2 linked regions of the Astyanax mexicanus genome follow. The protein of the gene in region 1 interacts with the protein of each later gene in a biochemical or structural test. Links are inferred from orthologs where the notes say so. Each region holds a gene or a part of one and is shown in the gene's direction. Other genes may lie near its edges.

The links. The genes of interacting proteins can lie anywhere in the genome.
Region 2: the proteins of sp1 (region 1) and jun form a complex in vitro, tested with the Homo sapiens proteins (2 studies listed by BioGRID). The link is inferred for Astyanax mexicanus from reciprocal best matches to the Homo sapiens genes SP1 and JUN.

The regions. Positions count from the first base shown.
Region 1 is NC_064431.1:15,804,713-15,815,410, forward strand, and holds the start of sp1 (transcription factor Sp1), read left to right. Parts: upstream 1-5,317; 5' UTR 5,318-5,417; coding exon 5,418-5,424; intron 5,425-6,188; coding exon 6,189-6,262; intron 6,263-7,696; coding exon 7,697-9,029; intron 9,030-9,323; coding exon 9,324-9,465; intron 9,466-10,170; coding exon 10,171-10,364; intron 10,365-10,698. UniProt on the Homo sapiens protein: Transcription factor that can activate or repress transcription in response to physiological and pathological stimuli.
Region 2 is NC_064408.1:62,904,110-62,914,912, forward strand, and holds jun (transcription factor AP-1), read left to right. Parts: upstream 1-6,878; 5' UTR 6,879-7,353; coding exon 7,354-8,325; 3' UTR 8,326-9,075; downstream 9,076-10,803. UniProt on the Homo sapiens protein: Transcription factor that recognizes and binds to the AP-1 consensus motif 5'-TGA[GC]TCA-3'.

The DNA.
Region 1 (10,698 bases):
TCGAGCAAGGTCAGAGAAGCAGTCAAGAGGCCCATGGTCACTCTGGAGGAGCTGCAGAAATCTGCATTGTTGAAAGCCGCAAAAAGATTGTTAAAAGAAAGACATAAGAAGTGTAGAGGACACAGCAAACATGAAAGAACGTGCCAATTTTGCAAAGAAGAACAGGCAAAAATCTGGTAGAGACATACCCCAAAAGATCTGCAGCTGTAACTGCAGTGAAAGGTGTCTCTACTAAGTAGTGATAGGGGGCTGAAGACTTTTCAGATTTTTGTTTGATTCAAATTTTAAAAAACTTGTATCTTTTCACTTCACAATTATGTGCTACTTTGATGGTCTATCACTTAAAATATCAATAAACTACATTTAAGTTTGTGGTTGTAATGTGACAAAATGTAAAACACTTCAAGAGGTATGAATACATGTACAAGCCATTATACATCTGATCTAAATTCAGTTGTATTCTGAAATACTTTAGAATAAATAACTCCTTATTTAACATTCAATAACTGTAGAAATGTTTGTTCATTTTTTAGAAATGCTCTAGTGGTAGGGAATATTTGTAATTTGGGACGGGGCCGACATTCTCTACCCATGTGGCTGACTTAACGAACTGGCAAATCTAGCAAGCAAACGCTCTCTGAACACCAGCTTTACAGTATTTTGCTGTTCCTCACTCCAACAGCTGAACAAACAGTGAAGATTCAACTTTAATCAAACCCTTTTAGCCCTTAAAGCTCTCTTTTGCCATAATTCCGTCCATCCCTGCAAAAATCAAACATTAAACTTAAATCTAAACCTAAGATTAGTGATCTACACCCAGGGGCAGCACCTGGCATGGACTTTAGGGGCTTCAGTCCCGAGCATATTTTAAAGGTCTCCTTCCAATAAAATCCACTTTTTCTTGTTCTTTGTGAAATAGAATAAGTCTCTTTGAGTTGTACATGATGCTGCACATGAAACTCTTCCTGAACCTCTATTGTCTACAGTAGCTGGTAAAAGAAAAGCCTCAGAAAAACTAGTCGATCAGTAAAAGCACATGTGTACGTCAATCGGTGAATTAATATTCATGGCCTCACCCATGATTTTGGGGAAAACTTACACTGCACTATAATTTGTTGATCTGTAATATATATTGAGATTTAAAAAAAAATAGAGGTAAAAAATACAGTGCAACAGGATTGAAAATCGGGGTCAGATCGGGTATTTTTCAAAGGATCAGAATCAGGTGGAAACTATACATTTGATTTGTTTTTGTTTTTTTTTTACTATATTTTTTATACTATTTTATTATATTATTATTTTTTATATTATTATATTTATATATTATATTTTTATTTTTAACTATGCCGATTATTCCACCCACTCAGTTGCACTCACTCGATTACTAGCACATACCTGTCAAGTTTTAGATTTAAAAATAAGGGATATTTTCCTCTGTACGCTTAAAGCCGTCCCACCAGCCCAACGAAGGTTCAGTATCCCTCACATTTTAAAACAGGTTTACAAGAAATATAAAATAACCACAAGTGAACCACTTACACACTACAATTAGATTATAAGAATCTGAAATGTTGTGGACATTCCTACATATGTCATTCTTTTAATACAGCCAAATTAAAAATCCTTTTCTTTTTTTAAAAAATTAAGATTTCATGTCTTTTTTGTAATAAATGCACTCTTTTATATGATATATTTTTTATTTATTTAATGGATTTAAAATTGAACAAAGGGTGCACAAATTCTGCAAAATGACTGTTGGTGACCTAAACATAGTATCATGAGCTTTTACTAAAAGGACATGGACCAGATATGTTTCATCAGTAAAAATTTGTCCTAAGGGGCCTACACAATAATTTTTAATTAATACTTCTTCCTTTTGATCACTCCACCCCTGATCAGTTCAGTTAATTTCGGTCCTCTCCACATTTCTAGTTAAACTGAGTCACAAGTTGTAAATTTGTTTATTTTAAAAGGTTTAATCTGTGTGTTTTATTTCGGAGACGAGTATTTTTAAGCAGCTATCAGAAAAATCTCATCACAGTTTCCATGATTAGCCTACCGTTCCCTTTCTTTAAGAAAAATCGCTGTATATCCAGATCTACGGTGGCTGAGAAAGCCCAACGCAGTGCAAATTGAAAAGCGCTGCAAAAGCACAAAACACATCCATCAAAATTACAACACAGGCGCAGCAAATAGAAAAACGCGCTGCAAAAAGAAAAACGCGCTGCAAATAGAAAAACGCGCTGCAAATAGAACCACAACACAACGGAAGTGAGTCACAACACAACGGAATTTTCCCGGGGGACCTTAAAAGATACTGTACCAGCTAAGCTGCGTCTTCAGTAACGTCTCGGACTTCAATATGTGTACAAAGGACAATACGTGGCAAACAAGGCGTTTTGTGAAGCAGAACTTTTAATAATATGCACACAACCGTGGTAATCACAGGTAATAAACATAACTTACTTTTCAGAAGCTTGTTTGCCACTTATTGTCCTTTGTATACAGCTGGTACAGCATCTTTTAAGGTCCCCCGGGAAAATTCCGTTGTGACTCACTTCCGTTGTGTTGTGGTTCTATTTGCAGCGCGTTTTTCTATTTGCAGCGCGTTTTTCTTTTTGCAGCGCGTTTTTCTATTTGCTGCGCCTGTGTTGTAATTTTGATGGATGTGTTTTGTGCTTTTGCAGCGCTTTTCAATTTGCACTGCGTTGGGCTTTCTCGGCCACCGTAGGGGTTTCCCGGCCAAAACGGGAGACTTGACAGGTATGCTAGCAACATACCTGTCAAGTTTTAGATTTAAGAATAAGGGATATTTTCCTCTGTACTCCTAAAGCCGTCCCACCAGCCCAACGAAGGTTCAGTATCCCTTACATTTTAAGACGGGTTTACAAAAAATCTAAAATAACCACAAGTGAACCACTTACACACTACAATTAGATTATCAGAATCTGAAATGTTGTGGACATTCCTACATATGTCATTCTTTTAATACAGCCAAATTAAATACCCTTTTCTATATATTTAAAAAAATATATAAGATTTCATGTCTTTTTGTAATAAATGCACTCTTTTATATGATATATTTTTTATTTATTTAATGGATTTAAAATTGAACAAAGGGTGCACAAATTCTGCAAAATGACTGTAGGTGAACTAAAAATAGTATCATGAGCTTTTACTAAAAGGACATGGACCAGATATGTTCCATCAGTAAAAATTAGTCCTAAGGGGCCTACACAATAATTTTTAATTAATACTTCTTTCTTTTGATCACTCCACCCCTGATCAGTTCAGTTAATTTCGGTCCTCTCCACATTTCTAGTTCTAGAGTCACAAGCTGTATTTTTTTCTAAAGTCACAAGCTGTATTTTTAAGCAGCTATCAGAAAAATCTCATCACAGTTTACATGATTAGCCTACCGTTACCTTTCTTTTAGAAAAATCGCTGTATATCCATGTATGTTTTAACATCAGCAGCTCTAACTAGCTGCCTGAACTCACAGCGACGGGGGGCTTTCCCACACTGACCCTCCTTTGTAAGCTGATTGGCTGTTTCTCCTGAAAGGCGGGACTTTCTCCTTGAATCGGCTCCACGATTGGTTAAGAGAGCGGTCAGTGCCCTGTCTCCTCAATAATATATATTTTTTTATTTAGTATAATACGGGAAATTTACGGGAAAATACTAATACGGGAGGACGGCGGGAAAGAGGAGTAAAATACGGTAGTTTCCCGGCCAAAACGGGAGACTTGACAGGTATGGCTAGCAATGCCTCCTCTGACACATGTAAAGCCAGCTACCACCTCTTGGAAATGCAGCATTAGCGAGTAGCGAGCACGGTCACAAGAAAGCACAGTGACTCGGCTCTGATACATGAGCCAACAGATGCCTGTGCTGACTGATATCACCCTTTGGAGTGATGTGGGAAAAAAGCGCCATCTACACACCTAGAGAGAGCAAGACCAATTGTGCTCTCTCTCGGACTGATAGCGAGGTGCATGACTGGGATTCGTGGCAGCACTTTATTCTTCTGGACCACTTGGAGTCTCTTATGCATCATATTGCTATGGGTGGGCGAAATAATGACATTAAAAAAAAATATATATATACATATATATATATATATATATATATATATATATATATATATATATATATATATCATGGTTTTAATATTGTGGTGATTAATACAGTACATTTTTATGTCACTGACACCACTAATATAAATATAATTAAAATTCGCCAATCTAACAATGACTCTTTTTTTTTACATTTAAATAATCCATTATTAAAAGCTTATGAATGTTTGGTAGGCCACATGATTTACACATGCGTGCACAGTTTGATATTTTCACTGGTGATTTTAATGTTTTCAAGTAAATATAGTAATGTGTCTTATAGTATGTAATTATTATTCTTTAAAAGCATAGACTAGTACAATATAATACTTTTAAAATGTGATATGAAGTGGTATATTTTGATTTTAAAAAATTGGTTATTTAAAAATAACAACTTGGATGTGTTTTTTTTTTTTTTTTTTTTTTTACTGCATTGCCAGAGTATCAGATCGGGATTGGTATTGACAGATACACAAAATCTAATTTTCTCTTTGTGCATATAGTAAAACTGGAGTAAAATAAATTATATTGCAGTTTGCAAAGACAGTATTAAACATTATATTGTGCAGTCCTGCCCTAAACCTGTGCTTATCTGGTTGGATTCTGAGCAAAATTGATACTCAAATCAATATTTATTAATCATAATATGACTAATAATAAAATAAAAATGTTATAAAATTTCAATTTCAGTTAGTTGTAGATATTTTATTAGTTTTCTTAGTTTAAATTACATTAAAACTAAACTAAAACATGAACATTTAAAGCAGGTTCTTCCTTTTTTACGGCCACCAGGTGGCGGGGTAACCTACATACATGTAGGTGTAACAGAGGGCTGCTACGGAGAAGAGGCGGGCTCCTATAACCTGCTCTCTGTGTTCTGATTGGTTAAAATCTCTCAAGACTTCTCAAACAGGGCGGAGTCTTCCTACGAGAGGAACCAATCAAATCTAAGCCACGGTTCTCCCGCCTTTTTTGGATACGCTTACTACTTCCAACCACGTCATCCCACGTTTTAATACACTTTACTGCTAATTATAAACCTAGCTTACTTTAACACTAGATATTAATCTGTATTAATTTATATAAAATAATAATAACACAAATAATAACCGAGAAAACGCTTCAGGTGTGGCCTACATGGGCGGTGGCACAGTTCTGATTGGCTCGGATAAAACCGGAGGGCGTTTTGATTGGCTGTCCGCCTTCGCCACGCCTGTCTATCATTTCCAGGCAGGCAGCGAGTTCGGTTGAGTTGTTTGTAAGTTGATGTGTGTCCAAAAAGAAACTCCTGCGTGTTAAAAAATGAGCGGTAAGTTGAGTTAATTCGGTTTAAAAGCGGGTTTTTAACGAGTTAGTCGAGTTAAGGTGAGGTAGGCGTGATAATAAGCACTTTTCGGGGCGGTTTTGTGGGGTAGGTTTAGTCTGCAGTGACTGTAAGTGTCTGAAATGATTTCTGAAGATTTGTAGTTGGCGAGTTAAAGTACGAAGAAACCGGTTTGAAGTAGGTTAAAAGTTGATAAGTGTAAACGGAGGCTGTTATAATGCGAATTAGATGTGTAGAACTGGATAATTAATAACTGAGTGGGTAGTTAAAGTGTCTAACAGAGACTTCGCTACTGTAGCTACCGCTAGTTTAGCTAACCTAGCTAGCTTAGCTAGCGAGCTAACCTGCTAAGGAACCTTAAGTTTTTTTGTACTAAAAAACTTTCATAATGGCTTTATTAAGGTAGCTAGCGGTTAGATAACTAGCTTTTTGGGTGGTAAATCGCTTTATTTAATATTTAATCTGTTGTGTTTTTACTTCATTTACAAGTGTTTTGTCGTTAAAACTTTCATTTGCCTGTTTTAAAATTGCTTGTTTTTTGGAATTGTCCGTTCCACCTTAAAGAGTGCAGCAGTTCCATGGAACTGCTGCACTCTTTAAGGTGGAACGGACTATTGCAAAAGCAAGTCAACTTAAAAGTGGTTTAACGTCTTATTTGCTCTTTAAGCTAAATAATAATTATTAAAGACTAGTAATAACTCAGTTGTAAACCATACAAGTGATTTAAAAATATATTTTCTTGTCTACAGAGCGAAATGAAATGGCTGCGATGGGAGAAGGCGACGGAGACTTCCGTAAAAAGCGAAACACCAAAACAGACCAGGTCAGTAATACAACTGTTAAATATTTGATATAGCTATAGCTGTTATACAGTACTAGGCAAAAGTTTGACCACACACCTTTTCGTTTAGTTTATTTTTTCTTTATTCTTTATTCTTTAGTATTTTCTACATTGTAGATTAATACTGAAGACAACAGGATGAAATAACACATGCAGTTGTAAAAGTCGTGTGTCGTTGCAAGCCTCGTTTTCTTAAAGCTAAGTTTTTTTAAGTAATTGGTTTCTCTATATATTTATGGAAATACATATTTAAGGCATTTTTTATTTACTTTAGTGCATATATCAAACAGTGCACATATTTCTTGGGAGTTTATTAATGGATATTTAAATTTAAATAATTGTTAGTATTATGTTGACAACATTTAAAATGTATTATGTTTAATATTAAAGTTGTATGTAAGGTTGAAGGTGGCTGCTTACTATTACTTTAAAAGAATTAAGAAATCTTATGTATTATATAAATGTTATAAATGTGATTTTGAAGTTATCTACAAGAACTAAAAATCATAATTGAGAATCGCTCATATTTTAAGAATATAGTTTTTTGTTGTACAATATTGATTTTGGTTTAAACAGTGGCAATATATCGCCTTGCTTATATCCCCACCAAGTTCTTTCCATTATACCACCAATACAAAATTTTCTTCAGTTATTTAAAGGCTATATGTTGAGACAAGTGTTGTTGTTTTTTATTATTAGTCTTAAACCAGCTATTTATTATGTACCAAAATCTCTGCACTCTCTGTTTAATTTCAAGTGAAGAAGTTTCGTTGTATTTGGTCGGTCATGTAAGGAAGGAACTCCAAGGAATTCAAATTTGGAGATTAAGATATGGGACAATTATATGGCACATGCTGTACATGATGTAAACACAAACACTCAGTGCTAAACACTGAAATTACTAATTCCTTAATCAGCAATAACAGCTTTATTTACTTCTGCACTGTTGCACTGTAATAAGAACAATTTGTATATATATAATTTTTTTTTAATTATTTCGCTACACCTTGAATACAGTTTACACCTTCATTGGAAAAAATTATGTAAAGTTACTGGAATAAAATTTGATGTCATGTTGTAAACTAGTTACATAGAAATTCTTAAAACCTGACCCACACAAACAGCTCTTTATCTGTTTGTCTTACAAAACCTTTAAGAAGGTCTGTTTTTTTACTAAAAAAGTACCACTTGCTTAGTGCAATGGTCCTAGGACCAGTGTTGGGAAATGCTAAACAGCTAAAATAAGTGTTGGAGGACTTTACGTAATTTTATGTTGCTTTGTGATAACACAATTTATCAATATTTCGTTACATCGTTAATCGTTACATTCCGTGTAATCATACATTATCCCACACTGCATTTTACTAAATCAAAAATGTGATGCATCAAGTTATTCTGAGGTTCTCCTTCCCACAGGATGCCCAGCCGCCATCACCTTTAGCCCTGTTGGCGGCGACTTGCAGTCGGATAGACGAGAACGACGCAGCTGAACAGCAGCTTCAGGTCCATCGGAATGATTTAACCCACACCCAGGTATCTCACGCCACCAACGGCTGGCAGATAGTTTCTCAAGGTGTACAGACGACCACTGCCTCCGGGAATAACGTCTCTCAGAAGATCGTTCAGGATAAAAACCAAACTATCGTGACCTCCGGTGTCCAGCAGCAACAGCAGCAGCAGTATATAGTGGCATCAGCACCCAGCATACAAGGCCAGCAGCTGCTGACCACCATCTCTGGTGTGATGCCCAACATCCAGTATCAGGTCATTCCACAGTTCCAGACAGTGGACGGGCAACAGCTGCAGTTTGCCCAGACTACCCAGGATGCTTCTGCTGCAGGAACAGGGCAGCTTCAGCTCGTGTCTTCGCCCAATGGTGGGCAGCAGCTCATCGCAACGTCGGCCGGCCAGAATACTGGAGCTGGCAACATCCTGACTGTGCCAGGTCTTCTTCAGCAGGCCATTCCTCTTCAGAACCTGGCACTGGGCAACACTGTTCTGCCCAGTCAGACACAGTTTTTGGCTAACGTGCCCATGTCGCTCAACGGTGGCATAACGTTACTTCCTGTCAGTGCTGGCCAGGCTGCTGGTGCTAAAGCTGATGATGGAACTTCAGGTGTTGGTCAGCAGGTTGTCCAACAGGCAATCGTCTCAACAGCCACTGAATATCACACCAGCGCAACCACGTCCACTACACAAGCCGTGATGTCATGCAGCGGCGGGGTTTCTCGTGCTAACACTCTGACGGGCAACACCTTCCAGACCACAGTTGGCACAATTCCCATCCAGGCCATACAGTCAGACAACAGAGATGGAAAACAACAACAACAGCAGCAGCAACAACAACAACAACAACAAACCCAACAGCAGATCCTCATTCAGCCCCAGCAGCTCTTCCAAGGAACATCCACTCTCCAAGCCATCCAGCCTGCCAGCGGGCAGGTCTTTGCCACACAGACGCTGTCTCAAGATGGGCTCCAGAATCTGCAGATGATCCCAAACAACAGCTCCATCCTGCTGCGCACCGTCGGGCCGAACGGGCAGGTCAGCTGGCAGACGGTCCAGCTGCAGAGTCCTGCCGGAGCTCAGATCACACTGGCGCCGGTGCATTCGCTCCCACAGCTGACACAGACTGGAACCACCGCCACCACGATGCAGCTGCCTGGCCTGCAGACCATCAACCTGGCCAGTGCTGGGCTGCAGATGCACCAAATACAAGGGGTTCCCATCGCTGTGGCCAACAATGCAGGTCAGTATTACTGTTGCAGGGTTGTGGGTTGGAATGATAAGGGATGTACAAAATATTTAGCAGCTGAAATTAATCGGGAGAAAATGGGAAAAAGGAACTGATTTATTAAAGCAGAAAGTATTAAAAGAAACAGTAGGGAAAGCCTTTTGGCTGCAATGTTGTATAAATGATTCTCAGATTGTGGGGATGGATTTTTAAACTGAACTACAAATTAAATTAATCCAAATTAGATTTTGTTTTCTTAGAAATGTAAAAACAAAAATATATTGTCCTTGTATTGTACTGTGTGTTCAGGTGATCAAGGGGGAGCTGGCGGGGAGAGTCTGGACGACTGTACAGTTTTGGATCAGAGTTTGGACACAAGCCCAACGCAGCCCAGCCGCCGCACCCGCAGGGAGGCCTGCACCTGCCCCTACTGCAAAGACGGAGAGGGCCGGTATGCCTTTACCCACAATACTCACTCATTGCTCACTCACTCGCCTACTCACATTTACCGATGCCTCGGTAAATTGTAAAAGCTGTATCTGTTCTCAATGCGTTTTGTGTAAAGGGTACACATTTGACTTCCTAGTACACTTGTAGTACATGTTGTTTGATCTCGCATTTCCCTCATGACGTCACATATTTGTCTGTTAAGTGTTTATGTGGCCGCTCACCCTGTTTATCAATGCTGATTTGTGGCAAGCTAACTATCAAGTCATCCTCTACTTTCGTCCTGCTTCATTTTCCTCTAAATTTGTTCCTCCAAATTGTTAAGCACATTGCGCTCTCTGTCTCTTGCGCCATCTGTCTCTCTTTCTCGCTCTGTTGCTTTTTTGTCCTCACCCACACTCATATTATAATACAGTAACACTACCCTGAGATGATATAATACAATAAAAAAAAATTAAAAAAGACTTTTCGGCCAGGTGTAAACCACACTATACTATTATCTTTTATTATCGTTTTTGTTTGTTTTAAGTATCAAAAAAAATATATACAATAGGTAAATGTGTAGTTTCCATAAATATATAAAGTAGCTAATTTTTATTTGTATTTTTTTCTGAATGTGAAACTGTATTACCATGCCCATATATTTGCTCTTAATGCCTTTAGTAAATGTAATGAATTTGTTTTCTGATTGGTCTGGATCTGTTTACAGCGGTGACCCCAGCAAGAAAAAGCAGCACATCTGCCACATCTCCGGCTGTGGGAAAGTGTACGGGAAGACTTCTCATCTGCGGGCACACTTACGCTGGCACACGGGCGAGAGGCCTTTCGTCTGCACCTGGTCGTTCTGTGGGAAGCGCTTCACTCGCTCGGATGAGCTGCAGAGACACAAGAGAACACACACAGGTCAGTTCAGCGTCCCTAAAAAGAGCACTTTGGGATTTTGATATCATTATTGTTCTTATACATAATTATACTTAAAAGTCTAAAATGTAGAATGTAGGCCTAATCCCACATGGACCATCTCTATTTAAATATTATATCTGTTAGTAGGTCTAATAAATTACTTTTAATGCACTATATGTACAAATATTTGTGTATACCATTTCTAATTCTGCTGTTTAAGGTTGCAGCAATTGCTGATACAGATGTGCGAATGCATGCACACAGTCTTTTGTCTAGTCCCTGCAGAAGAGAATAGGACTTTCTACAGCACATGAACTTGTATTAACCTACTGGC
Region 2 (10,803 bases), on another chromosome or scaffold:
ACCCAGAGGAAACTCTACAGACACAGAGACAACACAACAAGCTCTTAACACACAGCAGCCAGATAGAGGATCAAACCAACAACCCCAGGCCTGTGGAGCTGTGCGACACACTACACACACTACCTGTGGTGCCACTGAGCCACCCTGTGCAGAGTCAGTTCAGCTTGGTACAGTTATGTTCAGTAACTAAAGGGACTGAAGATATACCCTTGGGGGGTACCACCCCAGTGACAGAGTGAACTAAGCCTTATGCCTTATATTACATAGACCCCACTCTCCCTTTCTCTCTGTCTCTCTCACTCACTCTCACTAGTTCTCTCTGTCCAGCAACAGCGCCAGTGTTTTGATTTACACCAGAAGACGGCGGGAGACAGCCGTTAAGGTAGCCGCCACACCCGGACAATGGACTCAGATATGACAGGATTACTCCGTTGCCTTTGACCTCTCCTCCATTAGGAGCTAGGTGATTTCTTAGCATGGGCTGAAGGGCAATGAACTACCATACACTAATTACAGACACAGACACCAGCCTGGAACCATTTTAGGCTTTTATGAGTATTTAGACAGGCGGGTATTAAAACAGGAAAGAGCACTGAACATGCCGAGCTCTGAACAAATGGTCTCTGATAAACCGGCTCAACAAAAGACACAAGAGTCTTGTTATACTAATAAATAAAAATATGGGTTCACGTGTACTCTGTTACATGACTGTCAAAAATAAGACTTTGCTGTAAAATGCAGCTTGATGGAATTGGATGACATCATATGGGCCATTTTCACAGACAAGGACTTGCACTACCCTAGTGAAAAACATATATACTTAATTGTACTTAAAACATATTGAGAAATATCTAAGTATGCTGTTAATATACTAACAGATGTATGTACTTACTTAAAATGTATTAAAAGTACATTAAAATTATGCTTCATCAAATGTTTGAAAGTAAACTTGAATTATACTTTTTAAAAAAGTACAATTTAGTGTATTACTGCTATGAAGTACACTTTTAGTTTTATGTAATTCAATATACTTCTAAAATACTTATTTCCAAATATACTTTTGTACATTTTTAGCAAAGTGTGTTAAAAACAGCTGTTACAGTAGTTCACTTAAAGTACAATGTATCATGTAACTTTTTAGAAAGTAAATTAAATTACTACATTTAAAAAAAATAAATAAAGTAAATATGTAGACCATTTTAGGAAATATATATTTTTTATACCCAACGAAGTACACTAGAAGTGTGCTATTTACAAAAGACAGAAACAAGAAGCATATTTTTACTCTAATGTAAATATATTTAACCTCAATTCTTATATACCTGGTGTATAATAGTGATACAGTTGTAAAACTGTAAAAATGTATTACAGTTTTACTGTAAACATATTTAAAACATGGGGTTACATACATGAAGCCGTTACTTATAACATTTAACCATACTATTTATAATGTTACTTATATTTAGAATAGTTCCATTTTAGTACAGTTAAGTACACTTACTGTACTAAAATGTACAATTTAAGTATGACTTTTGTACTATTTTAATTAAAATATAATAAGTACAAAAAAGTTGTTCCATTATGGTGGACTATTATGGTGAAAACTGGCATTTTTGACAGATTATACTTTACCTCAAGCAAATATGGAGCCAATATGATAAATATAAAGTGCTATAAAAGTGAAATATTAGTAACTGCTGAACATGCTGCAAGTGCCTTGAAAACAGGGTTGTGATGGTTGTGATGTCAGTGATGTCACTTTCTTAAAGGGGCGGTTACTCAAGATGACAGGGTAAACAGGGAATTCCTGGACATGTTTAAATGGCTTAAATTTTTCAAGAAAATTTAAAAAATAAAAACTTATAATGCAAATATAATGAAAAAAAATTCTTTAACAATTTAAAAGAAACATTTACCAGTGCCAAGTAGCACTGGCAAAAAAATCACCCCCACATCAAACAAAACTGTAAAACATAAGTACATAAAAACATACTTTTAATTAGAGGTTAACACTGATCTGTGTTCTTCTATATGTTAAAGTAATTTGACCCAGTATTAATGTTAATTCATTTTAATCTCTTTTTGCTGCAGTAGTGGTCTCTATTGTTATAGAAAGGCTTTACATTGATATTAGAGCCTTACTGTAATAATCATTCAATCACAGAAGCACAAGTAAGGTCAGGATCTGATGTTGAATGATTAGATCTGGATCTCAAATGTTTCACCAACACTCCATCCACAAGTACTGGATGAATCTACATCACTTTAGAGAGCACAGTTCCACTGCACCACAGCTCAATGCTGGAAGACTTAATATTCTCTGGTTGCAGATTGGCATTGCCCATGGTAACCTTATAGGCTCAAGTGAGGTTGTTCTACAGCTTCCAATTCTACTGGCAATGCTTTTCTATGAAGACTATACAAGCTGTGTTTGTTCAGTTGAACACCTGTGTCAGCAATGGATGCACCTTACAGTAGCAGAATTCACTCCATAAAAAGGGTGCCTCTTTAACATGAATACTTATTTAGCTTTAAAAATACGAATAATCCTGAAAACTGCATGCGTTTTAATGCTAACTTGAATCTGTTTCTGTGTGTTCGTTTTTCACAGCTTCAGCATGAAGTAAATGTTAATTGCTCTGGCACTGTCTTTAAGGGAAGTTGATGAACCACATTTATACTAGGCCCTCCTCACAGACGTGGGGACCACCAGTGAGATGGATCTCCAAATACAGAGTCCCCCTTAGCTAATGGCAGGCCGTATGTCAAAGCAAACACACGTGCCGCAGCTATGGATACCTGATATTAGCACTACAGCCCTATTAAACGTTATAGTATACAGTACACACAAATGTATAAATAATGACTTTTTCCATGGGTGTAAGTAGAAAAGCTAAGGAGTGGGTATATTTTAAGGTCCAGACCAACCAGGGTGGCACAGACATAGAGACATATAACTACTGACAACATAAACATGACACATTTACACTCTGTCCTGCTAGACTGAAGACCAAGAATTCCCTTCACAAACCCATCTATATATAGCAGTCATTTTGTTTATTGTCAATTTAAACATGTCCACCTGACGCATGTTTATGTTTCACTCACCCATGTTTCAGATAACTGAGCTTAGACTGCATCAATACAGGTTTGCCTGTGAAAATCTATTTTAAGTTTTGTTATTTAAGGAAATACGGGTATTAAAGATGCCTTAGAATAAAATACTTAATTTACACTGCATCGTTAACCAGCAAATAGAAACAGAGCTTGTCATTTTATTTACTGGGTGGTAAATAGGATTTTAAAACCACAAAGTCACAAACGTAATTTTTCTGTATCACAGAACATCTTTCGAATGTTATAATCGGTATGCCTGTCATGAACACAATAAATGTACTTACAAATAAATGAAAATTGCTTGTGTGCTACTCTTTAAATGTTTGCTTATATATTGTAGTCATTTTTACTAAATATGATATAATTGTTTATATTAAATTCAAAAATTATTAAATTACTTTTCATTAAAACTATTTACATTTAAACTAAAATGTCTGAAATAAATCTTGTTCTCACACAATCAAACATAACCAGTAAAACAAAAAGAAAAAAACTAAAGTAACATGGAAACAGGGAAAAGGCATGCTGGGAAGCTGTTCCTCACTGTTAAGCCCATTTTACAATTTCTGGACTGTGCTGGACAAGGCCAAAAAAAAAAAAAAAACAAGAGCTACTTCAAAACAGAGAAGTCTCAGTTTCCATGTTGAACTAGTACTGGGCATTCCAGTTTCTGTCCTAGGGAAAGCATTGTGCTGTGCTGAAAGAGGATGCAGGATAAGAGGATACTGCTCTAGCACTTGACCTTTGTCTCACAGATTCACATGCCCATAAAACTCATCTGACCTTTAGACAAGCGCAGGGCCAATGGAAATGCATCTGAAACGGACAGTAGAACAAAATAAGCTGCTAATAAATGTGTATGACACATTAAACATTACCAGTCTGGATGTATTGTTAATCATACTTATTTACAGCAACTATGATACCTTAAATAAGCATAGCAACAATTTAAATCTCAAGAGTACACACAGACACACACAAACACACACACAGAGCTTCTTCAAAAGTTGTCCCGACAAGCCCAGTCAACCACAAAGCCACAAACGAGTGGATTTAAAAGCCTACTTTCGTTCTAATCTTCATCAACAAGCAATCAAAGGCAGTCAGATACAGGCATGTTTTGGAAAAAGCTTTACTTTTACATGAGGGTCCCAAACCTAAGGGCAGGATCCACAGCAATATGAACCTCAGCTAAACATAATGACGATAATCCTTTGATTGGCAGCTGCTAGTCTGCCAACAGCCCCCAGCAGGCCACAGAGCTTTCATTTTCTTTCTTTCTATTTCAACCAAAAATCTTATAGGACTTCCTTCTTCTCTCTTTATCTCTGCTAATCTGTACATCTAGCATTAGTGCGCACCGAATTTTCCATTCAGCAGTGATTCCCCCCAACACACTTCAGCCTAGATCCAACGCTGAAACAGAAATGATTAACAACTTGCCCAAGGCTTTCGATTGCGGATCAGAATAAGGATTATGTATGAGCAGCATGGCTGTGTTTCAGATTTCTGAACCTCTTCTTGCTAATACACTTTGTTTTGTACAGTAGATTTGTTTCAGCATAAGGCCATTAGGAAAAAGGGGCTGGGCAATAGATTTTGGATTGACCTACATTTATTGTTTAAATGCAAAATACCACAAGTCAGTCGTGCTGCACAGCATCACTGAACAAATAGAAATAGAAATACAAATATCTGAAAAGACAAAATAGTAAACCAAACACACTCTTTGGTACTGCAAATGTTGATTAAATAAAATCACTTTTATTTTTACATTATTTATCTACTTTATTACAATGCCATGATAAATAAACCAACAGAAACATTCTAAAATGTTTTATAGTTAAGAAAGTTTTTTTATCAGGTCCTTGATCAGTAAAGTGTGTTTTGTGTGATAACAAACACAATACAAGACAGAATATTACACAGACTGTCAATATGTCACATTGACTGTGCCAAATATAAGAGCTATGAAATAACCAGATTCATTCATATACACATTTATCTTTACATGTGTGAGAATGTATATATTACATTACACTCGGAAGATGCTTTTGTCCAAAGTGACTTATACAATAATGATGTTCATTTCGTAATAGAAGACATAGAAGTAGGTAAAAAATACAGGGCCAAAAGGAGACCAAAGGGAAATAGCAGGATAGAGGAAGATAGATTACAATCGGATATAATCTTTTTGTATTACATGGTATAACAGAGTTATACATGTGTTATATTCTTTGTAGTCATATTATGAAACATAAAGATATACAAAATATAATGTATATATGTGTTGGTGTGTATGTACCACGTTGATCTTAAATCTAAAATAGTCTGTTTTGAAAAGTATTGTAATAAATGTAAAATAGTGAATGTTAATTTCACAATAAGTGAGTAAAAATATTATTTTGCTGCATTCAGTCACAAATTAGAACCTTTAAATCTCAACCTTAACTTTAACAACTGCCTGTTGATGCCGTTTAACCATATAAGCTAAAATAATGACAGGGTTTAGGGCAGATTAAGGGTGAGGACTGAGCAGGAGGTCTAAACAGTGGGTTTTGGTGAACATCGACTGAGGACTGCCACGAGGAAACCTGAGTGCAACGTCATGCTGACGTGGTGTGTGTGTGTTGAGCTCTGGGTTCAGTGGAGCAGTGAAACAGAAATGTGCCAGAGACCGGGGACAAGTTTCACTTCAGAGCTCCTCTGGTGCTTTTCCTGTGAAGGTCCTGCGCAGACTGATAACAGAAACCAAAACAACTGCAGCTGAGCCCACACGTCAGACTCGCGCGAGCAGATAAACACACCAGCCCCAGCCTTAAAGCACAGTTTCAGATGTCTGTACTTTCCTCTGTCCCTCTGCATTTCGAGAGTTTGTTAGTCAGGCTTGTTGTGAAAGCGTCAGCCTCGCTTCTCGTTTTTTGTTTGTGTGAACTTTAGAGAGGCTCCCTGAGCTGGACCTGCTCTGTGGCCTGCTGTCACTCCACTGCAGACCACGCCCCCTCCACCTCCTATTGGCTGGAAGGGACCGTGAGTAAAAACACACTCTGCCACGACAAAAGCAGACTACTGCTCGTGTTTCGAAATTAATCTCCTGAACAAAACAAAAAAAAAGAAAAGTAGAAAAACACTTTCTAAACCTTAAGGCATGATTAACGATTATATTATTAATACCAGGCGAGTTATGTGTCACCACACTTATTATTTATGCTTTAAAAAACAGAACACAGACCGGACTCTCCCGTTCCATTATCAGCCTGTAGTTATATTTTGTACATATATATATATATATATATATATATATATATATATATATATATATATATATATATATATATATATATATATATATATATATATATATATATTTCACTTCTATAATAACACATACAAATAAAAAGAGCTTATAATAAAGTAATTAAAACATCTTTAAGCGAGCAGAAATCACGGTCTCCCCTCACACACTAACACTAGCTCCGTCCCATAGACACACACACACACACACACACACTGGTGTCCCGCCACAGTCTGAAGCAGCTAAAGCGCGTAACCAGATATTCAAAAACAATACGTAATCCCACAATGCAGCGCGCGCGCTCGTCCACTCGCAGCATTACCTCATCCCGTGAGCCTCCGCGCGCCGAAAGAATCTTCTGGTGGTCGTCTAGGCAACGCGCCACGGCTCGGCCCCCTCGACGCCCATAGCCAATCAGAGGCCGCGGTCATGACATCACCATCGGACCCCTATTTTTAGTGTGGCAGCGGCGGCAGATAAGGTTGGAGAGCGCGGCGGAGGAGCTCACAGCACACACGGGACAGGGAGAGGGAGGTACGGAGAGAGAGAGAGAGAGAAAGAGCGGAGAGGAGTTTAAAACAGAGAAACAACACACACAGTAGTCCCGTGAACAGACTGACAGCGCGAGAGAGGCGCAAGACCTCGTAGTTCCGACTGTTTTTACAACTTTTTTCAAACTTTTTCCTCTCGCGGGACAACGAGAGACAGAGAGAGAGAGGACGAGGCTCGAGAAGTTTGGGAAGCGGCTGCTAGCTCCTGCCCTTCTCCTCTTCTATTCTGAGAGACAACACTTCATTCACCAAGAGAGGCGAGCGCTTCTGAGTCGGACTTCCAGCTGAACTCCTCACACAGTGAGAGAGAGCTGTGGTGAAGATCTCTACCGCTCGCTGGTGAGTGAAACGGCTCCTCCACTCTCAGACAAAGTTTTGGTTTCTCCTTCTATGTCGACCAAGATGGAAACTACTTTCTACGACGACTCGCTGAGCGCAGCCTTTTCGCAGCACGACGCCGCCGCTTTCGGATACAACGCCAAGGTGCTGAAGCACAGCATGACGCTCAACCTCACCGACCCGGCCGGCACGCTCAAGCCGCACCTGCGGGCCAAGGCCAGCGACCTCCTCACGTCGCCGGACGTGGGCTTGCTTAAGCTGGCCTCTCCGGAGCTCGAGCGGCTCATCATCCAGTCCAGCAACGGGCTCATCACCACCACGCCCACGCCCACCCAGTTCCTGTGCCCCAAGAATGTCACGGACGAGCAGGAGGGCTTCGCGGAGGGCTTCGTGCGGGCCCTGGCCGAGCTGCACCACCAGCACATGCCCGGGACCTCGGCGCCCCCTCAGACCAGCACCACGGTCAACAGCTCCATGGCGGCGGCCCCGGCCGCGGCAGCCTACAGCTCGGCCCCGCCGCGCGCCGACCCGCCGGTCTACGCGGACCTGAGCACCTTTAACCCTGCCATCAGCAGCAGCGCGGCCCCGGGCTTCCCTGCCGTCAGCTACACCACCACGGCGCCTCAGCCCCTGGCGCCTCCACCACAACAGCAACAGGCGCCACAGCCGCTCCCCGTCCAGCACCCGCGGCTACAGGCACTCAAGGAGGAGCCGCAGACGGTGCCCGAGATGCCCGGGGAGACCCCGCCGCTGTCGCCCATCGACATGGAGAGCCAGGAGCGCATCAAGGCCGAGCGCAAGCGCATGCGTAACCGCATCGCCGCGTCCAAGTGCCGCAAGAGGAAGCTGGAGCGCATCTCACGCCTGGAGGACAAGGTGAAGACGCTCAAGTCTCAGAACTCCGAGCTCGCGTCTACGGCCAACATGCTGCGCGAGCAGGTGGCCCAGCTCAAGCAGAAAGTCATGAACCACGTGAACAGCGGCTGCCAGCTGATGTTGACGCAGCAGCTGCAGACCTTCTGAAGCGGGAACTCCAAGGAGCTGCAGAGAGGGCGCCGAGGAAAGAAGGGACAAACGGGCTGAAAGGACACGCTTGTGTAAAAGGGGCTGTGCACCAGAGCCTGCGGCGACGGGGGGCCGGTGAAGCCGTAAAGTGCTCCAGGACTGTCCCGGGGACCCTGTCTGGCCGCGTGCCGTGCAAAAGGACGTCCAGATGTGGAGCTTACCAGACCTCCACCAAGCTGGGTCCACAGCACCAGACAGCATGAAAGACTCACTCTGTTACTTTTATTACTGTTGTTTTCTAATGACGAAAGAAAGAGACTCAACCTTGTTCACTTTGACCAAGTCGTGCATGGACCGAAGCGTACAGGCGCACTCAGTATTAGAAAAAGAGAACTGCATTAGGGACTCTGCTCGGCCCATGTTGGCGGGCCACAGCAGGAAGTTGCGTCCTATAAAGTTAAAAAAAGACCCTTTGATAAGAGCTGCCTGACTTCTGAGTTGCAAAATGTCATTTTTGTTCTTCAGATGAATCAAATCGACGTTATTTGAGTTAGTCAAGCTTTCGACTTTTCTTTCGAAGTTTCTTTTTCTAAAAAGTTTCTTAATGAGGTTTCACTCATTGTTATTTGTAAATAAGATCAACAGGGAGTACTTAAGTTTACCATTTGTAATAAAAAGTGCTACGTAATTTTTTATGTTTGTTTTCTGAGCTGATCAGAAACTAATCAATATTTATGAACTGTAATAAAGGATGTCAAACGAAAACAATGGGTCTGTTGTGTCTGTAAATGGAACAAACATGTTGAAACATGTCATTCAGAGCCACTATTGACTAATGCTTCACTTCACACACACAGTCTTGAAGGTTCAGGTTTGTCTAGTGTAGCCATGCTCCAACAACGTCCACCTTACAACTTTACAAAAGTTACACACAGAATAAACAGACTACACACTACTATAGTAAAGACTATGTAGCACAGACATTTTCAATTAAAATAACTATATATATATTTAACATTTAAATGAGTACTAAAGTGGGACATGCAGCCTTCAGCACTATTTCAGTTCCTCAAGTGTTGTATAGTAGTTATAAATTCACAGTGTAGTGTAACATTAATATATGATATACACTAACATTAGGTATTGGCTAACTGTATCTACAGAGATAGCCAGTAATATTGAGGTATTCATTTGAACTTGGCAGGTAGTCACAAATAGCAAATAAATACATTAGAAATAAACAACAGATTAATAAGTTGTTTAAAGACCAAACAATAAACAAAACAAAATACGATATAATGTATACAAATGAAACAGCAATGCATCTACACTATCAAAAAGTATTGTTTATCATGTGTTTCAACAATAGAGCAGGAATTGCATCAGATTAAAGCCTACTGCTATTATAATCAATATTACATTTCGTCTTTGAACATGTAGGTATATGATGATCCTGCAGCTCTACTCTATAAAATGTACTTTGGACAAGGTCTTCTACAAGAACAACCTCATACACACCAGTTTCTTTAAAACGACATTTTTTTTAAACCTGGGACAATGTGCCACTAGAGGGCGCCGTTGTCCCTCTTTTGCTAGGTCACGCCGGAGTCTAGTTTGATCCTGGAGTAAACACTCCCTCTGCTGTTCAGTAAAATACACCAGTGTAAACTCATGAGCACTTTATAAAACGTGTTCAACTGTAATGTGGAACAATTAGGCTGAAGGAGAAGAAGGCAGGTAGGCTACACTGCCCTGTCCTAATGTAAAAGAAAGTACTTTGTCTCCTTCACCTAAGCAGTCTTTAAAGGATCCTAGAATACTATAGAGTGGTTTACGTTTAATATTAACATTAACCTGAACAGAACAGGTATATCAAACAATTCTAACATACTTAAACAAATAAATAAATCAATAAATAAAGCTGCCTTTAAGGTTCGGGTTTTAAAAGCTGTGATTAGAAAGCCAGTGAACTGCACTAGTTCCTTTGTTAAATCTGATTCAGTCCTTATCATGCAACATTAATGGTCTTTCTCTGCCCAAACTTGGTAAAGGGTGACATCATGCCGGAAAGCGGCACCTACATGACCATATAAGGAAACACAAGGGTCGGAAGATCTACGCCATCAGGCCGTGGAGTGGGCGTGGCTTACGGGAAGTGGAACTCCTCGGACTGATCTGCCCCGCGCGCTGGAGCGCGAGAGAGGGGGGAGAAGAAGCTTTCTGATTAAAATAAACACACAACACGCGCTCAACTCCCATACATTTAACTCAACACCAGCTAAGTTAACATGTACACATGTAGTCCACCAAAGACTGGCAAATATACAACACACAGCAGCCTAAAAAACACACCAACAAGTTTACATGTTCTGCGTTATTTGCGCAGCATAGGCTATAGAAAAAAAAAACATTTATAATAGAAACTGTCATTGCAGTGTATCTAGAATTAATGAAACTCTAATGCAAGTCCATTTGAATTCAGATTAGTATTGAATA